2 linked regions of the Drosophila melanogaster genome follow. The protein of the gene in region 2 interacts with the protein of the main gene of each other region in a pairwise test. Each region holds a gene or a part of one and is shown on either strand. Other genes may lie near its edges.

Evidence for each region.
Region 1: the proteins of CG1986 (region 2) and Gapdh2 interact in a two-hybrid assay, tested with the Drosophila melanogaster proteins (one large-scale study listed by BioGRID).

What each region holds. Positions count from the first base shown.
Region 1 is NC_004354.4:15,863,808-15,872,037, reverse strand, and holds Gapdh2 (glyceraldehyde 3 phosphate dehydrogenase 2), read right to left. Parts: upstream 3,894-8,230; 5' UTR 3,795-3,893; intron 3,721-3,794; 5' UTR 3,703-3,720; coding exon 2,704-3,702; 3' UTR 2,377-2,703; downstream 1-2,376.
Region 2 is NC_004354.4:9,907,458-9,915,687, forward strand, and holds CG1986 (uncharacterized protein), read right to left. Parts: upstream 3,670-8,230; 5' UTR 3,499-3,669; coding exon 3,305-3,498; intron 3,178-3,304; coding exon 3,023-3,177; intron 2,965-3,022; coding exon 2,488-2,964; intron 2,376-2,487; coding exon 1,987-2,375; 3' UTR 1,206-1,986; downstream 1-1,205.

The sequences.
Region 1 (8,230 bases), 6.0 Mb from region 2:
ACCTGGTTCTGAAAAAAAGCGATCTATAAGATACAACATAGCAACTATATAATTTATTTGTTCGTTACCTTTTTGTGCAAGGATTCTTTCAGCATTTTATAAATTCAGCTTTGGGAACTCCTTGAACCCTTAACAAAAAAGTATTTTCTCGTGAACATGATGACACCAGACAGATCTTTCTGAAATTAAGATAAAAACAAATTTAGTAACATATTTTTAAAGAAAAAAGAAAATAATATTGTTAATATCAAAGTAACTATATTATCATTCTTTTCTAGCTAAAAAAAAAAACAATAGGTTTCCTATAAACATCAATGTTAATCTTGTTGCTGCTAACATTTTAATGTTATGTTATCGAAAAACAAAAGTTAACAGTTGTTTCAAGTTGTGGCCACGCCTTTTCCGCCCCCTCACATGTAAAAAACTCGCAGGACATGCATTTTTAATGTTTTTGGAGAGAATCTCTTGTTAATTTTAGTTTTTCATATACCTTATTTAAATAACCAGTACAAACCTGTGCTATTGCATTCAGTCTTCGAGATCCAATTGTTTACTGTTTTTGATAAGAAGCCAACCGATTGGCCAGCTTAAAATCCTAGAGCCCCCAAAAGTTATTCATGTTTGCAGGAAAGTTTAGCCTTGAAAAATTTGTTTCGAGCCTAAATAATGTTGTTTATCTGGAAGATATTGTTTTAAAAGATATAAATTAGCACACACATGCACGCATACATGGCAACATATCGACAAAATAAACAACGAAAAGTGGGACCATTATATTATGTACATACATAGATTTTTGAGTAGGTGCTACATTGACCCACATATGTATGTATATATTTGAAACTAAATGGGACATTCCCACTTAGAAAAATAAGAAAATCACATTTTAAAGCTGTAACAGCAAGCATTTGCTTTGCATTTGAAGGGAATTTGTTAAGCAAAAGTAGAAATATTATGAATCTTTTTACAAACTTCCACTGTTACATTTTTGAAACCATTAAAAGCAAGCACTTTACATTCTAATATTTCGTTTCTCTTAAATCCACAAAATACATACACACATATATACTCTTATGTACACACGAAGTTGCCAATACGACAGTGCCATATGTACATATGTATATGTATGTATAAACAGTTCACATCTGCAGCCAAATACACATTCTTACAAGACTTTTTCCAGCATTTTTAACCGCTATTTAAATTGGACTATATTTTCCAAAACTCATTCATGAACAACATTGAAATGTTAAAATTACATGCACAAAAATAGATGAGCATATGTATAGAGAAACGCACTGTTGCACATGTGCAACTGAACATCTATTAAAATTTCTATACATGTGTACAATTTGCATTGAAAAACATTACAAGTTACGGTATAATGTTAACAAAGATATTCGAAATGTTTAGCCACCGTTTATAAATATTAATTATTAAAGCGTCCGCACGTATATCTCCAACATACATACATATGTATATACCAATATGTATACAGATTTATGTTCACTACGCACATACGTAAGATGTGAACTCGAGATGATTTTACCCGATGCACTTATGTTTCATTATATTTCGTTGGGGAAAATGTGTACCACACACACACTGCACAATCGTTAAATTCGCTCGGAAAACATACTCTTTGTTCGCCCCGTCAGTTTTACACAAGTTATGGCGTTTTCACTCGGTAACTTTCATTTACATTCATCAAGAACCAGAAGTCTTGAACTCTTATGCTGATTTGTGTCCGTTTGTTGCTACTGCATGTTGAATAATTCACATTTTATTTTAAGGTTTCATCAATTGATTATTTTATTTACATGCCAGTATTAAAATGTTCTGAAAATTAGTGTGCCCGTGTGAGAAAATTAATCGAAAAGACGGTATAGCAAGCGATTAAATATCGATAACGATATAATGGTGAAGTGCTGTTGAAATGATGCAGTCAACCAAAATATTTGATTATATTTGCCAATTATGCAAATATAAATCGGCAGAGAAACATTATTTTCTCAGAAATGTATCCAAAAAGCCAGGCTTACACAGACAATATGCCACCGTTAGTCTCTCCAAATATCGATAACTTCTGTTTATACATTGCTTCAACTGAAGGGTTTAAGGTCGCTCTTATCGAAATCTGTAAAAGCCCGATTTTTGCCGATAACAATACCATAGAATCAGGCTCATTTAAAATTATTTGAAAACTTTAACAAGTTATGTAATCATTCAAAAACCAATCGACTTAAAAAAAATATCGACACATTTCTGTTATATATATATTACTTCCAAATATAGCAAATGAAAAAAACAATTTAAAGTAATACTCATACTATTTTAGGTATTTCAACGGTTTATACCAAATAAAAAGGCAAAAATAAATATTTAAATGCTTATGAGTCGGCATTTTTAAAACTACACACAGAGTGAAACTTTATTCAACAACAGTAAACATATTTATGTGTATAATGGATGTATTATATTAATAATTTTCCAATGTGGCTGGTAATTGAAGAGCGAAAACAGTAGCATTTCAGAGCATAGCGCATATGTATGTAGGTGATGCTCCACCGGGGAGCAATATATATATAAGTTATGTGATGCCATTTTCAGGCCGTTTCTGAAGTGTCTCACCCCATTCTACCGCGCCCTAATCTTTAACTTTTACGTAGAGTGTGGGTGGGTAGTGTTCTTGGTGTTCCACATTTAATCCTTGCTCTGCATGTACTTGATCAGGTCGATGACGCGGTTGGAGTAGCCAAACTCGTTGTCGTACCAAGAGATCAGCTTCACGAACTTGTCGTTTAGCGAAATGCCAGCCTTGGCATCGAACACCGACGAGTGGGTGTCGCTGAGGAAATCGGTAGAAACGACCTCCTCATCGGTGTATCCCAGGATACCCTTCAGGGGTCCGTTGGCGGCCTCCTGAACCTTGGCCTTAATTTCATCATAGGACGCACCCTTGCCCAAGCGCACGGTCAAATCGACCACGGAAACGTTGGGAGTGGGCACACGGAATGCCATTCCGGTGAGCTTACCGTTGAGGGCGGGGATAACCTTGCCCACGGCCTTGGCAGCTCCAGTGGAAGCTGGAATGATGTTCTGGGCAGCGCCACGTCCATCACGCCACAACTTGCCGGAAGGTCCATCGACGGTCTTCTGGGTAGCGGTGGTGGCATGAACGGTGGTCATCAGACCCTCGACGATCTCGAAGTTGTCGTTGATCACCTTGGCCAGAGGAGCCAAGCAGTTGGTGGTGCACGATGCGTTGGAGACCACCTTCATGTCGGGCTTGTAGGCATCCAAGTTGACGCCGCAAACGAACATGGGAGCATCGGCGGATGGGGCCGAGATGATAACCTTCTTGGCACCGCCCTTCAAGTGAGTGGATGCCTTGTCGATGGTGGTGAACACGCCAGTGGACTCCACGATGTATTCGGCACCAGCGCTGGCCCAGTTGATGTTGGCCGGGTCGCGTTCGCTGAAGACGGTGATCTTCTGGCCGTTGACCACCAGGAAACCGCCCTCGGCGGCAACGGTGCCCTTAAAACGTCCGTGGGTCGAATCGAACTTGAACAGGTAGACCATGTAGTTCACATCGATGAAGGGATCGTTGACGGCCACAACGTTGGCGCCCTTATCAATGGCGGCGCGGAGAACCAAGCGGCCGATGCGACCAAATCCATTGATACCAATCTTCGACATGGTTAACTTTTTGTTTATCTGGAAAGTAATGTATGTATATGTAAAGCAGTTAGTACTTGGAAAGTTTTCCGCGGAATTGAGGGAAACACTACCTATCGGCTTGCTTGCAAGGAATCGACTGTGATGGCTGAGAAATTTTGAGCGCTTTCTATGGGCGAAAACTCGGGCGAAAAATTGTTCAAAGTCAGATGAAGGACGTGCATGTCAAGCTCGAGAGCGGCTACCGCAATAAAAAAGAGCTTTTGCTCTCAGTAACGTGAAAGCTCAATGCTACCCAATAGACTTTTTGCAAGCATCATTATATGAATATAATAAGTAGATATGTACATAAGATACGCTTAACTTTAAAAACTTCTGATCTTAGACAGTTAAAGTGACCTATAAAGTATATGGATTTTTTAATTTATACGGACAAATGTTTATTGGGATATTTTTATGGCCATTTCACCTGCTCAATTTTGTTGACGGAAGTTGAGCTTTCTTGTGAGCTTAGTTGCCGGCAATTACATACGTGCATATATAGGCACACGAAACATACACATATATGAGCACGTCTGATGAACATCAATTGGTTATATTGTACATAAATATGTACATAAGTAAATGCAAATGGAAAAATCCTAACATCCCCACATAAATACATATTCATCAATTTCATTAATATTAAAATTTAGAGGTCATATTCTGAGCAAATTGAAGTTTCGCCGGTACGTGACATTAATCTGTACAATACATGTACATATGTACAAAGATACATATACATGTAAATATGTATATATCTTCTATGCATAACTACAATATTAGATGAAATAATTGTCTAAGTAATTAAATTATCCGTTTTGATGATTTCATTTAAGCAATTGTGCTGTTGTCATCCCATTGTTAAAATGAAAAACACCTGACAGCTCAAGTAGGCATCCAAATTTCATGAATTTTAAACGCTAATGGTAATAAATAGTGTTAGTCACAAAATTCCATGTACCCATAACAACGAAATTGTATAACTTTATGATGAAAACTAAGTGAATGTGACCTTTTGAGTCACGCAGAATTCATTTACCTTTTTTTATTATATATAAACATGTATATACATATGTTCTTAAAATCAGCAGATCCCGTTTATATAAATATTAAAACATATGTATACGAACGATATATAATCAAAATCAATTAATTTGGGAGTATTTTATTCATACAATCATTTGTAGTAAAAAAAAAGGTATCTGCAAATTAATCATTTCTCCTTCCCCAAACTGAATAATCGATATTGTAATCATTTAACATTCTTTTTATTCTTTTCATTCTTTTTATATATTTATCGATTTGTTTTCAGTGCAACCCTTAATTATGAACATAGCAGTGAAAATTCAAATAAGCGCGCCAACATTAAAATGTTGAAATATGCAATTTGACAAGAACTCAACATTTCTGTTGCCTTATCTTTTACATTTTATAAATTATTTCTCGAATAAGTATTAAATATTTTAGTGCGTCATGTTTATTTATTAATACTTGGGCTGGGCAAAAAAGTTCGTTCCTTTTCAGTGAGTCATCGGTTTTACTGATAAGCAAACATTTCACTTGTTTTTTAACCTCTCATCTTTATATTGTTGAAACGATAAATGTATTTCAGCTTGGTGCTAAATTATTGCAGCAAAGTCAAAAACAATGCTTACATCTTACCATTAAGATCCATTGAAAGATGACTTCTAGATTTATACATTACCGAAAAAAAGGATCCGATTAGAAAAGTATCCCTGAAAGTGAATAAAACACCTGCCAATGTTGTGGAAGTCTTACTGTCCTTCGAGTTTGTGGGGTTATTGCCTTTTATGCTAACATCCCAGGATGACTTCCTAACCTAGAAACCCCATTACAGATAGAAGCTTCTTGACGTCACGAGCTGAAGTAGGCTATCTATGTTTATTTCTCTATATAAAGAAGGATAGTTCGCCTTTCTATGCGTACTATATCAGAAGATATATCTCTGGATCTGGTCAAAGATATCACAATTATGACTGTTGGAAATTAACTACAATTAATACCGATTGTTTGCATATCAAGTTCATTTTAATATATCAAGCTTTTATATAAAAGATATCATATTAGTACCACATTCGGCAATAGTTTCGTTATGAATCCCCGAACTGCAAACTAATTGCGACTACAATGTGGCAGGCTAAAGTTGATAGAAAATGAGCGGGTGGTTTGATTGAAAAAAAATTTAATTTGATTGCATATAAATGTATGACTATTAGCATGCCAGTTTTATTAACCCGTTAATCCTGACAGACCAAACTCTTAATTAATGTTTTCGGCATGTACATATGTGCACACGTACATTAAATGATATATGTATGTAGCATTTGCTTAACACAATTTTCTTTATTATTTATTCTAGATATAACGCTGAGTTGACGGCTATGACACAAATTATAAATTAATGTTAGTAATCTTCAGTTTTTTCATTTAAATATGTATGTTTGTATGTATGTTTATTACATGACCATGTTTTATTTTATTTAAATTTTCAATTTCTTTTTCTTGACAGCATTTTCTGTTTCCATTTTTTGTTTTCTTCTCAATTATTGTTAATAACTAATTACAAATAAATAATTTCATCGAATTTGCCGATTTGTCGTCGGCAAATAAAACAGTAATTAAATTACAAATCAAATTACGCGCATATATGTGCGCATATATATGATCGCGTGGCATATACATACATATATATAAACATAACGTATACGTAATTAAATTTGCACGGAAACACACATACATAGAGAAGGGTTCTGATATTAACATACTTGAGGGATGCGCGTTCTAATAACAAAGTACTCTTAACAAAAAAAAAATGATTAAAAAAGAAATAACACGTTACTTTGTTCCGTTTTGGGCTGTGATAGAAAAATAGTTTAATTAAACTTACTGCTGGAGTACAAAATTCCTGACAATTCGTAAAGTGCGTTCGTAATTATGCAATTATGTATGTATTTTGTATTATGCATTATGTATTATTAACCTTAGATGGACTTACTTTGGCGCATTTTTAATAATCGCAAAATAGAGCGGTTGATCAACACGTTAATTGCTCCTTGTTTAAGTTAAACAATAGGATTATCGTATTCGTATTATATTTTATTATTTAAATGTTACAAAGGTTTCTTTTCATAATTTATTCATAGTTTTGAAACAGCATTAGTTTTGAAATGGCCGTCCAGAATGTCCAGAATGTACTAAAATTAAGTAAGTCCATCTATGGCGAAAAAGCAGAGCCCAAATAACTGCAGCTGTTGTAAGCTTACCAATAGTAGTTACACATATACATAGGAATATATTCGGTTCAATATAATCAATCAAGCATCGAAAGTCGTTAGAAATACACAATAATTCTGTCCATTTGAAATGTTTTCATTTCGATTTTTTGATTCGTCTGGGTTTTTGGTTTTCTGGATTCTGGATTCGGTTTGGATTTGTTTTTTGTTTGCGGTTTAGGTTTAGATTTAGATTTAGGCTAATTCTCGTTGCTTGAAAAACTATTCACTTTAAATCACAATTTACCATTTACCTATCGGACCAAGATACTATAACGTTAAAGAATACTTCAAGAAGGTCAATAAACCAATCAGTTTATTACAGTTTTCAATGAATTTTGGTATTGCTAGGATCAGATTTCAGATCTTTGATTTCAGAATGCTGGAATCGGTATTGGTATTGGTATCGGTTTGGGATGGGTATCCGCGAATTTCCTATTACCACTTAAAATTAATTAAAAAGAACATAATAAAAATAGATAAGAACTTGATGATTCGGTATATTCGTAAGACAGCAAGACAATATCAGTATTTTCACAATATAAGCTTTAGTTTTTGTTTGCATTCTACAATCGTTTCGCTTCGTTTCGTTTCGTTTGCTGCATTTTCAAACCTTATATAAGCCATATATGTAAAACCTCATAGGAATTTAGGATAAGAATAAAATGAACAAAATTCAACAGTATGCAATTAGAGTTAGATTAGTGAGGTGAGGTGAGGTGAGTTGAGTTGAGGTGAATGCTCAAATTATTTCCATGATGCTTTAATGCTTTAATGCCCTTACTGCCGCAATTCTATGAATGTATTTGTTAAGATTTTGTTAAACATTTATAAATGTATTATAAGATTTAAAGGTGTTTTTCAATTTATTGTTATAGCTTATATGGCCATCATATTATATATAAATAGTTTTCCACTTTTTCACTAATGCATAGTTTACATATATGTTATTTAAATCATTCTTATTTTTGTTTGTATATAAATTAGGGACTTAAACATAATAAGACAAAAATTTGTTATAGTGTTTTCTTTACTTTTTTTTTGTTTTGTTTTGTTTTCATTACTTGATTTATAAAGTTTATTACGCAATTTTTGTTTTTGTTTCTTGTTTGGTTTCCTCCATCTTCATCTTCTTTTCTTTCTCATTTTTGTTTTCTTTTGTTTTGCTTTACGTTTAGGTTTGCCGTGATTCTTTTTTTATTTTATTTTTTTTA
Region 2 (8,230 bases):
GAGGGTAGGATAGAAAAGAATGAGACGGCCGAAGGAAAAAGAAAGAGAGGGTCTTAGAGTTAAGGACCATGAGAATGCACGAAACTTTTGAGGTGTTTAAAACGTTAATTTGCTTTAGATTTTACAGGAGTTTCTTCCCTGTCTCTCTCGCACACCACTGCAAGTGTGTGTGTGTGTGTTTGAGTGTGTGTGTAAGTGATTTTCGCATTAACGCGTGCTACTTTAGCGGTTCGAGTCAGCGGAGCACAAAAAACTGCTCCTTTTCCCTCTTGTTCCCTTCCCTTTATTCACCTTTGCTTGGTTGCCCAGAAATTAAGGGCAATAAAAACAAATAAAACACATATACTGCTTAAACGGTATAAGTTTAAAAAGAGCACTTAAATTTCATGAGTTTTTCATGAGTTTATTATTTTCCATTATGTGTACAAGGCTCAAGGAATTGTAAACAGTTTTGTATTTATGTGTCTTAAAAGTTAAATGTTGTCAAATGCCATTCACCATTTCACCATTTCAAATCTAAAAGGTGCGACCGTTTAGATAATAGTTCTGTGTGCTGCTTTTTTTTAGAATTTCATTCAAATTTTTTCTTATCCTGTTGCAACACTAACAACACTAACACTTGACCAAAAGCCACACACATTCCATTGGCTTTCTCTTTCCCGCTTTCGCTATTCCTTGAAATCAACTTTCATAATTAAATGGCGAGTCCGAGCTTCCTATTCGCCCTCCCTTTCTCCACCACTACTGACACCTCTCTTGCTCACTCTCTCTCTCTCTCCCACACACGTGCATGCATAAAACAATTTAACACTTAACGTGGCCAGGAGCTGGAAATAAAAAGCGCATAACTCATGCGAAGAAGTCGTCGGCGGCAGCGACGCCGGCAGAGGCGACGACGCCGCCATAAATTTCAAAAACAGCTACAAAACAGGAAGCAGCAGGCGGAGCAACAACAACGATAACAACAACAGTGGCAAGGAGCAACGGGAAAAAGCAAGAACAACTCGAGTGGAATGTACAACGGGATAGCTGCACTCGACGAAAAAACGTTGTAACATATAAGTAGCGGACTGATTAATTCAAACAACTAGTTTAATAACAATATTATTAAAAAATTAGGATTTATATTTAATGTTTGTTTATTACATGATATTTAAATAAATTTTGTACTCAAACATATGACTTAAATAGTTTTTTTGATTTTTCTACTAGAGTACATACTTATTTTTCCGGTGCTGTGAGAGGGGCGCGGGGGCGGGGCACGGCCGCAATGGACTGCAAAAATATTAACTACCTTTTAGCAAAAAGCGGGCCAAGCTGACGTCAAGTTTTGTAGAAAATTATGTTTTACAATGCGAAAATTGAATTTCAGTTTATTGTTTTCTGCTGCTTGTTCTTGTTCCGCCATTTTCCATTTTCCATTTTCTATTTTCTTTTTCTCTCACAATTTTGCTTTACGATTAACTGTTAAATGCAGCCGACTTTTCGCCGTTTTGTGGCTGCAAGTCAACGACTTTTCCATGTGTGTTTGGCCGTTTGGCTTTCTTGTTATTTTTTATGCAGTTTACAAGAACATGGCGAAAACCGGCTGGCTGCCAAATTGAACGGAAATATTTACTGCTACGTTCGTTAAGAGTAAAAAAAAAAATAAAAACGCTCTAGAGATTTATATTCTTGTGAGAAACTTCGGCGAATTACGATGAACTCGCTAGAGATTTTAAGTAAGCTTAAGTATCTTAAGTATCATCTGTTTTTTTTAAGGAATATTGGTTTGTGGGAGTTATAAATAGAATCGCAGCACAAAATAAAGTGAAATGAAAATACATTGTTTTGTTAGACATATTATTACAGTAAACTTTATCCAACAATGTGCTGTTGATTGTTGATTAACCCTTAGGCTGTCACGTCTCTTTTCCATCATAAAATGATTGCATACATTTAGGCTGCGTTTATTTTAACACTAACAAAACACTAGGAACTACTTATTCACGCACAGCGATCACTCTCTCTGTCTCTGTCTCTTCGCTGTCGCTCTCTCGCTCGCTCGCGCCGCCGCCAGCTGTTCGTCCAGAGGCGCAGCACCAGGGGGCTTTGGCTAACCTGACTGACCTTGCTCGACGACATTCGCCCCACCCCGCTCAGCCAGTTGGTCTGACGCCTCGGCACGTACGGCTGCTGGGGGGCGGTGCGGAAATAGAAGCTACCCTGCGCACGCCTCTGCGAATGGATACCGAAGCGCGCCTTCCGGTTGCCATCGCAATATCCGGCGGCGAATTCCCGGTAGCTGCCGCACTCGTAGCCCACGAACGGGTACTCGGGATCCATCGATTGCCGGAAGAAGATCGCAGCCGCCGAGTGACTGCAGGAAACGGGATCTGCCGAATGATAATGGTTTGTATCTTATTTCATAGCTCTTCAGCGAGATTACATATTAAATAAGCGGCTTATCTTTGAAATAATCCTATGATATAGATGGCCTTGACTTACTGGTATTTTGCATGTCACGCAGATTGGCGAACATCTTGCAATTCGTTTGCGGCGCCCTGCCTCCGTTGGGATAGAAATCGGCGTGGCCGCACTTCAGACTGGTGCCCAAGGAGCCGCCGGAAGTGTGAAGTACCTGGACGAACTGCGCATCTCCTGGATCCAGGCGGTACTTGGGCGCCACCTCGGCGGGCAGCGAGAACAGCGGTCCAGCGGGATCCAAGCCTATGATCTGCTCCACCTGACCCTCCAACACTGCGCCCGCATATCCAGCGGCATGGGCACCCAAGCTGTAGCCCGCCAAGGTCACGTTGCTTCGATGAAAGTGATTGGGACGCAGCTCCTCCAGGGCCATGATGATTCCAGCCACCGTTAGACCCACATCGAAAATGGACATGGATGCGGACTTGTAGTCGTTCTGCGACAGATTTCCCCAGTCCACAACGCACACATTGTAATTGGAGTCGAATAGGGTCCAAGCTGGGTATAAGAACCGAAATTCGAATGATGATTATGTGGATAAGGTGAGTATACATACTTAGCAATAACTCTTGCACCCAATCCTTGCTGCCCTGATCATTCCAGCCGTGCAAAAATAGGGCCAACTTTTTGTTAGGATCGAGGCGACGAAATCCTCGAAGGTCTCCAAGCTGCAGATTGAAATGCACTTCATTACCAAAATCCTTAGCTGATCTGGAAAAAAGTCGAAGTTCTTAGCTAAAAATACGCATTTATTATGGAAACTATAAAATTGTTTGAAAAAACTTTAAAATTGAAGAACAGATGAATAAAGCTGAATACAAAACCTACACCCACTTACATGGTGCGACACTCGAAGACGATGCCATGATTGAGATGGGCACGTTCCAGGCTATTCCGGAGCATGGTCTCCTGGAGATAGCGGAAGGCCTTCATCATGGGACTCCAGCGGTGGAAAGCCTCGATTCTCGGCACATCGCCGAGCAGGCAGAGCAGGCAGCCAAGGAGCAGAAGGTGGTTCACGTGACCGGGCATGCGGTCAAAGGGTCATGCACCACCGAAAACACCACACACACTTGCACACTCACTGTCACTGAGCAACACCAGAAAAAAAAAAGAAATAGAGGAGCGAAGAACTGGGGGAGTTAACCGAGATCTTAAGACACGCTCTTCTGGACCGAATGGTTTGCCCCGTGGCTGGCTACTGAAGAACTCGACTCGCTTGTAACTCCAAAAGACCCGTGAAGACGATGATCATCATGACGCTGATGATCGTGATGGAAAAGTACACTTGGGAAAATTACAAGCAAGCATAGTAATGGTTCTGAAGAGCACTAGAAATAATATATTAAAAGATCAGATATAAATATGTATAAAGTATTTCTTAAATATATGAATTTTATAACTTAGTTTAAACACCTTCAACAGCATTATGCCTTGAGATACATTAATATAGCACAGATGCACAGTACATGAATTTCTCGTATTTTCGCGCAGTGTATGTGATGCTGATGACCCTGCTCTCCGAGAGCTCTAAACATCTTTGGCGTTCTTGGCCGCGTGTTTGCACAAGTGAAAGTACAAAAAAAGCTTGTAACGACTTTTTGACTTCGATTTCGATTTCTTTCGGCTGGGAATTCGGCTTTGGGTTTTTCGGTGTTTGGTATTTGGTATTCGGTACTCGGCACTTCACTGATCTTGACATAGAATCCAGCAAACGGTAGCGACGAATTTCTGTCTTGTCATGGCTGTTGTTTATAGCTTATAGTTTACTTTGGCAGCTGAGCAAACCGCACAGCATCGAAATCGATAATAAAACCGAAAGACAAGGCGGCGCATTCAGGCCTCATCTCGGATCGAATAGGTTAATTTTAGTGCAGCCATAAACTTCAGAGGGAGTTGATCTGGGCACACGCTTTCTCGATGCAGTGAGAGAAAGGGAGTTGTCAGCAGAATGGATGTAATCTTAATACTTAATACTTAAACATCATATACTCAAAAACCTCTTTACATACTTGAAAACTATGCTAATATTTATTTTCTGATATTTATTATATTTTAAGTGATTTGATTGCCCGTCGATTTTTTTCAGTGCCTTTACGACAACCCAAATGGCGGAGAACTTACAAACTTTGACCCAAAACGCTGTTTTTTTTTTTTTTATGTCGCGCTCATAAAATATGTTCAGCTCACAAGAGATAAACCATAATATAATCCCGCCCTCTGCCGCCCCTCGCCAACCGTATTATTTTTATCTTTTTGGCCGAGCTTTCTAACCAATATGTGTTAAACGAAAGCAAAGAGAGAATAACGCTAATGATGCGCAAGTAAAGTGCCAAACGAATTTCGTTGTCTTCGCCCCATTGTTTTTCATCTAAATCTTGGGAGAGCCCCAAAGCTTCGTCTTCAAATCGTCCACTATCACCATTTCTACTTCCCCTCTTTCTTCTGGCTTTGTTTTGGCGATTTCTGCTTTTGGCAGTCGATCGATTTGCATATCTATCTGTAGCTTCTTTCCGCTGTCCACCTGTATTTCTGTTTATCTGGCCTCAATGTCAACTCTATGTTCAACACTATCAATTCGGCCGAAAAAAAATGTATGGTAAAGACGTGCCGATTGGAATGTATCTCAAAGTTTGTAAATTGAATGATAAATGCCTAAAATGAAAGCTAAACAATGATCAATGCTTAAATGAATGATAGAAGAAAAGAACACTGGACATTAGGTCTTGAAAAATGCGTTTTAAAGAGATAATAAACGACTTTAAATGTAAAAAAAACTTTATATACTACGGATATTGTAATAAAATGCATATAGTTTGTATGCATGAATTTAATTTGGTTCTTGGCGAAGTGGGACAATCGCTTTTCCGATTAAATATTCATGAATGATCAAAAGTTTTTTGTCCGCCCCCCAAATGCTCGCTGAATTTTCCCAGCCATTTTCTTCGAGTTTCCTTTCATGCACTTTGGAGTTTTGCTCTCCTTTGTTTTGGCCATTTTCTTCATGTGGCTCTATCATTAAGGCAGAGTGCGGCTTAATTGTTGCCGCAGACAATGGCTAGATTGTTATTAGGAGGGGGGGAGGGGCCAAAGGGGCTGTGATGCCCCCAAAAGGCGCCCCCAGCCGCCTGCTTTGCCCACAGTTGCGTTGCCTATTAAGCAGCATCATAATAATAATGTGTAACAACAAGAGCAACAACAACAGCTGCTGGCAATAACTTTTGCATATACGTATGTATGTGTGGCCAAGCAGCTTATGTGTGAGTGTTTGGGGACGCATTCAAAGCAATTTCCACAATTTTCGTATTGTTTACTTAATTAATTCTGCACAAAGATTTTCATTTGCAACTGTGTGCGAGTATGTGGTGCTCGCAGATGTTTTGTGGTTATTACAGCAAACCAACAACTCTCGTTCAACTCGGGTGTACTCACACCACACCAACACCCAACACACACCACCCACCACCCACCACCTGTCACCTCAGCTCCTATCACACCCTTCATCCAATATCCATTCGGGCAGACAAAACGCGTAATGAGTTTATAACATTTAATGAATCCAAAGCCAACCGCCGCAGCACAATGCGGCGTATGCGTAATGCGACCGACTCTTAGCAATGCGACAGCTTAAAGGCTCCTTAAAGTATGCAACAAGTCGCCGACGAGTGGGAATAATTACGGGGTATTTCCCAGGATTTTAATTAGATTAAATTCATGCAGCAGACTTGCTGGAACATAACCATTAGCTAGCCAGGGCTCACCATTTTCATTTAGGATATTTTAATAAAATTATAAATTCAATTGGAGCGGCTAGAAATTAAGGAATATTTGGCAGTACCATATTGGTTAGATAATTGTGTTCGAAGAGGATTAAAGAAAGTTTTTAAAATATTTAAAAGAAATAGAAATACTGTTCTTTATTTATACTTTATTATAAACCAACATCTGCTGCTCCATTTTCATTTTGCCCTGCCACGCCTCCTTTCTCTATATTTTTCCATTTTCAGGCTTAAAATAAAGCGAGTTCAAAGTGCTCGGCGTTACCATGTGAGTGGGAGTGGAGTTCGGTTCCTGCTTTCCTATTTTCCCGGCTTCAATTTTCAGTCTTTTCAGGCGCAGGCGATGGTGTGGGCGTGGCAGCAGCATTGACTTTCGATTTGTTGTTGTTATCTTCCGCGAAGGGAAACTATTTTACCGCTCAATTGATTTTGCAATTTATTTGCGCGCATTATGCGAAGGATGGTAGTTGAGGGGAATTGGGGAAGGGGGGGGGGGGCTGTCTATATAGACGCCAGGATAGATGTTGATACTCACACGTGTCCTGGGCCTTGAGAACGTAGCAAGGAGCACAGGAGGTTACTGGTGGCATTTTCAATTCTATTTACTCCCAATAATCATCATCAATGTCAGTTTCGCCAGCACTAAAATGAAAATAAAAACAAGCCAGGCAAACAATTTTTGTTTTCCTCCCAAGTACTCGATACTCGATACTTGACTAGCTACCAAAACAACAACAACAAGAGCAAAACGTCAACAGGATCATGGCCAGAAGCCGACAGCAACAACAATGAAGCGCAGAAGGAGATAGCAGGCGAGCAAAAAAGAAAGAGAGGGGGCGACATCGAAACGCATTGGGACTTGATGTTTATATCGATTGCTGGCAATTTCGTGAATTACAACAGACAAACACTACTACCGCGTGACAGGGACGGCTATATTCGGTGGAAAGAGACCGGCATATGTGGGGCCAAAAGAGAGGGGCGCACTTGAGACACGTCGTCAGCGACGTGAGCATGTTGCTGTAGTTTTTTGCCAGTCCCGTCGTTTTTTTGTTTTACTGTTGCCGTTGTAAACACTGCGAAAATTGTATGGTTAAGTATTAACTCCTAGTTTACGTCACATGCTTTTGGCTATCAATGTTTTAGTTCAATTGGTTTAATTAACATAGTACCTGTTTAATATATCCCTTAATATTTATATTACCACATTTTTCTTCAGTGTAATTGTTGTTGTCGCTGTGTTGCCATGTCGCTGGCGTTTGTTGAATCGCTGGAGTGGCGGAGGTTGGGTGGACAAGTAGTGTCGGGGTCACCAATTCAGCAGTCACCAGTCGCAGTCACAGTCACAGTTCCCACCTCCCTCTTTTACAGTTAGCACCAACGGCGCTGTCACACACAAACGCGCACACACACACACGCACTGCGGAGTCATGAACGACAACGTAGCGGGAAGGTAATCACAATATGCCAAAGTTCAGGCGACAAAACTGTTTGAAGGCAATGTATCTTAATTAAGGGACATACGAATCCAATATTCTTAACTGATTGAAGGTTTTAGTCATTTACTAACGTGGCAAAAAAGTGCTGTGGCTACAAATGTTGTAAATACAACTAATACTTTTCGTTTAAACCTTTCTGTCTTTTGATTTTCGACCAACACCTTTTCTAAAAATGTTTCCTTTTAAAACCCGAATTGTTTTCCAGCACTTTATTCGCCTGTTGTCAAATTCCGCTGCTGTGTTGCGATTTTCCACGCCCGATGCCTTGATACTTGACTCTGCTCCAGTTCCTCGCTATTCCCCTCCCATGCCTTTATCAGTCTCCTCATTTCATTGTGTCCTGTTCCGCCATGTTCACCCATTCACCTCACATACGCACACACACACACACACACACATGCAGGCTGGCATGCACTCGGAGACAAAACTAAAACAACGAATTACGTTAAATCAGTTTTTATACCCTGAAAGAGGGCTGCTTAAATA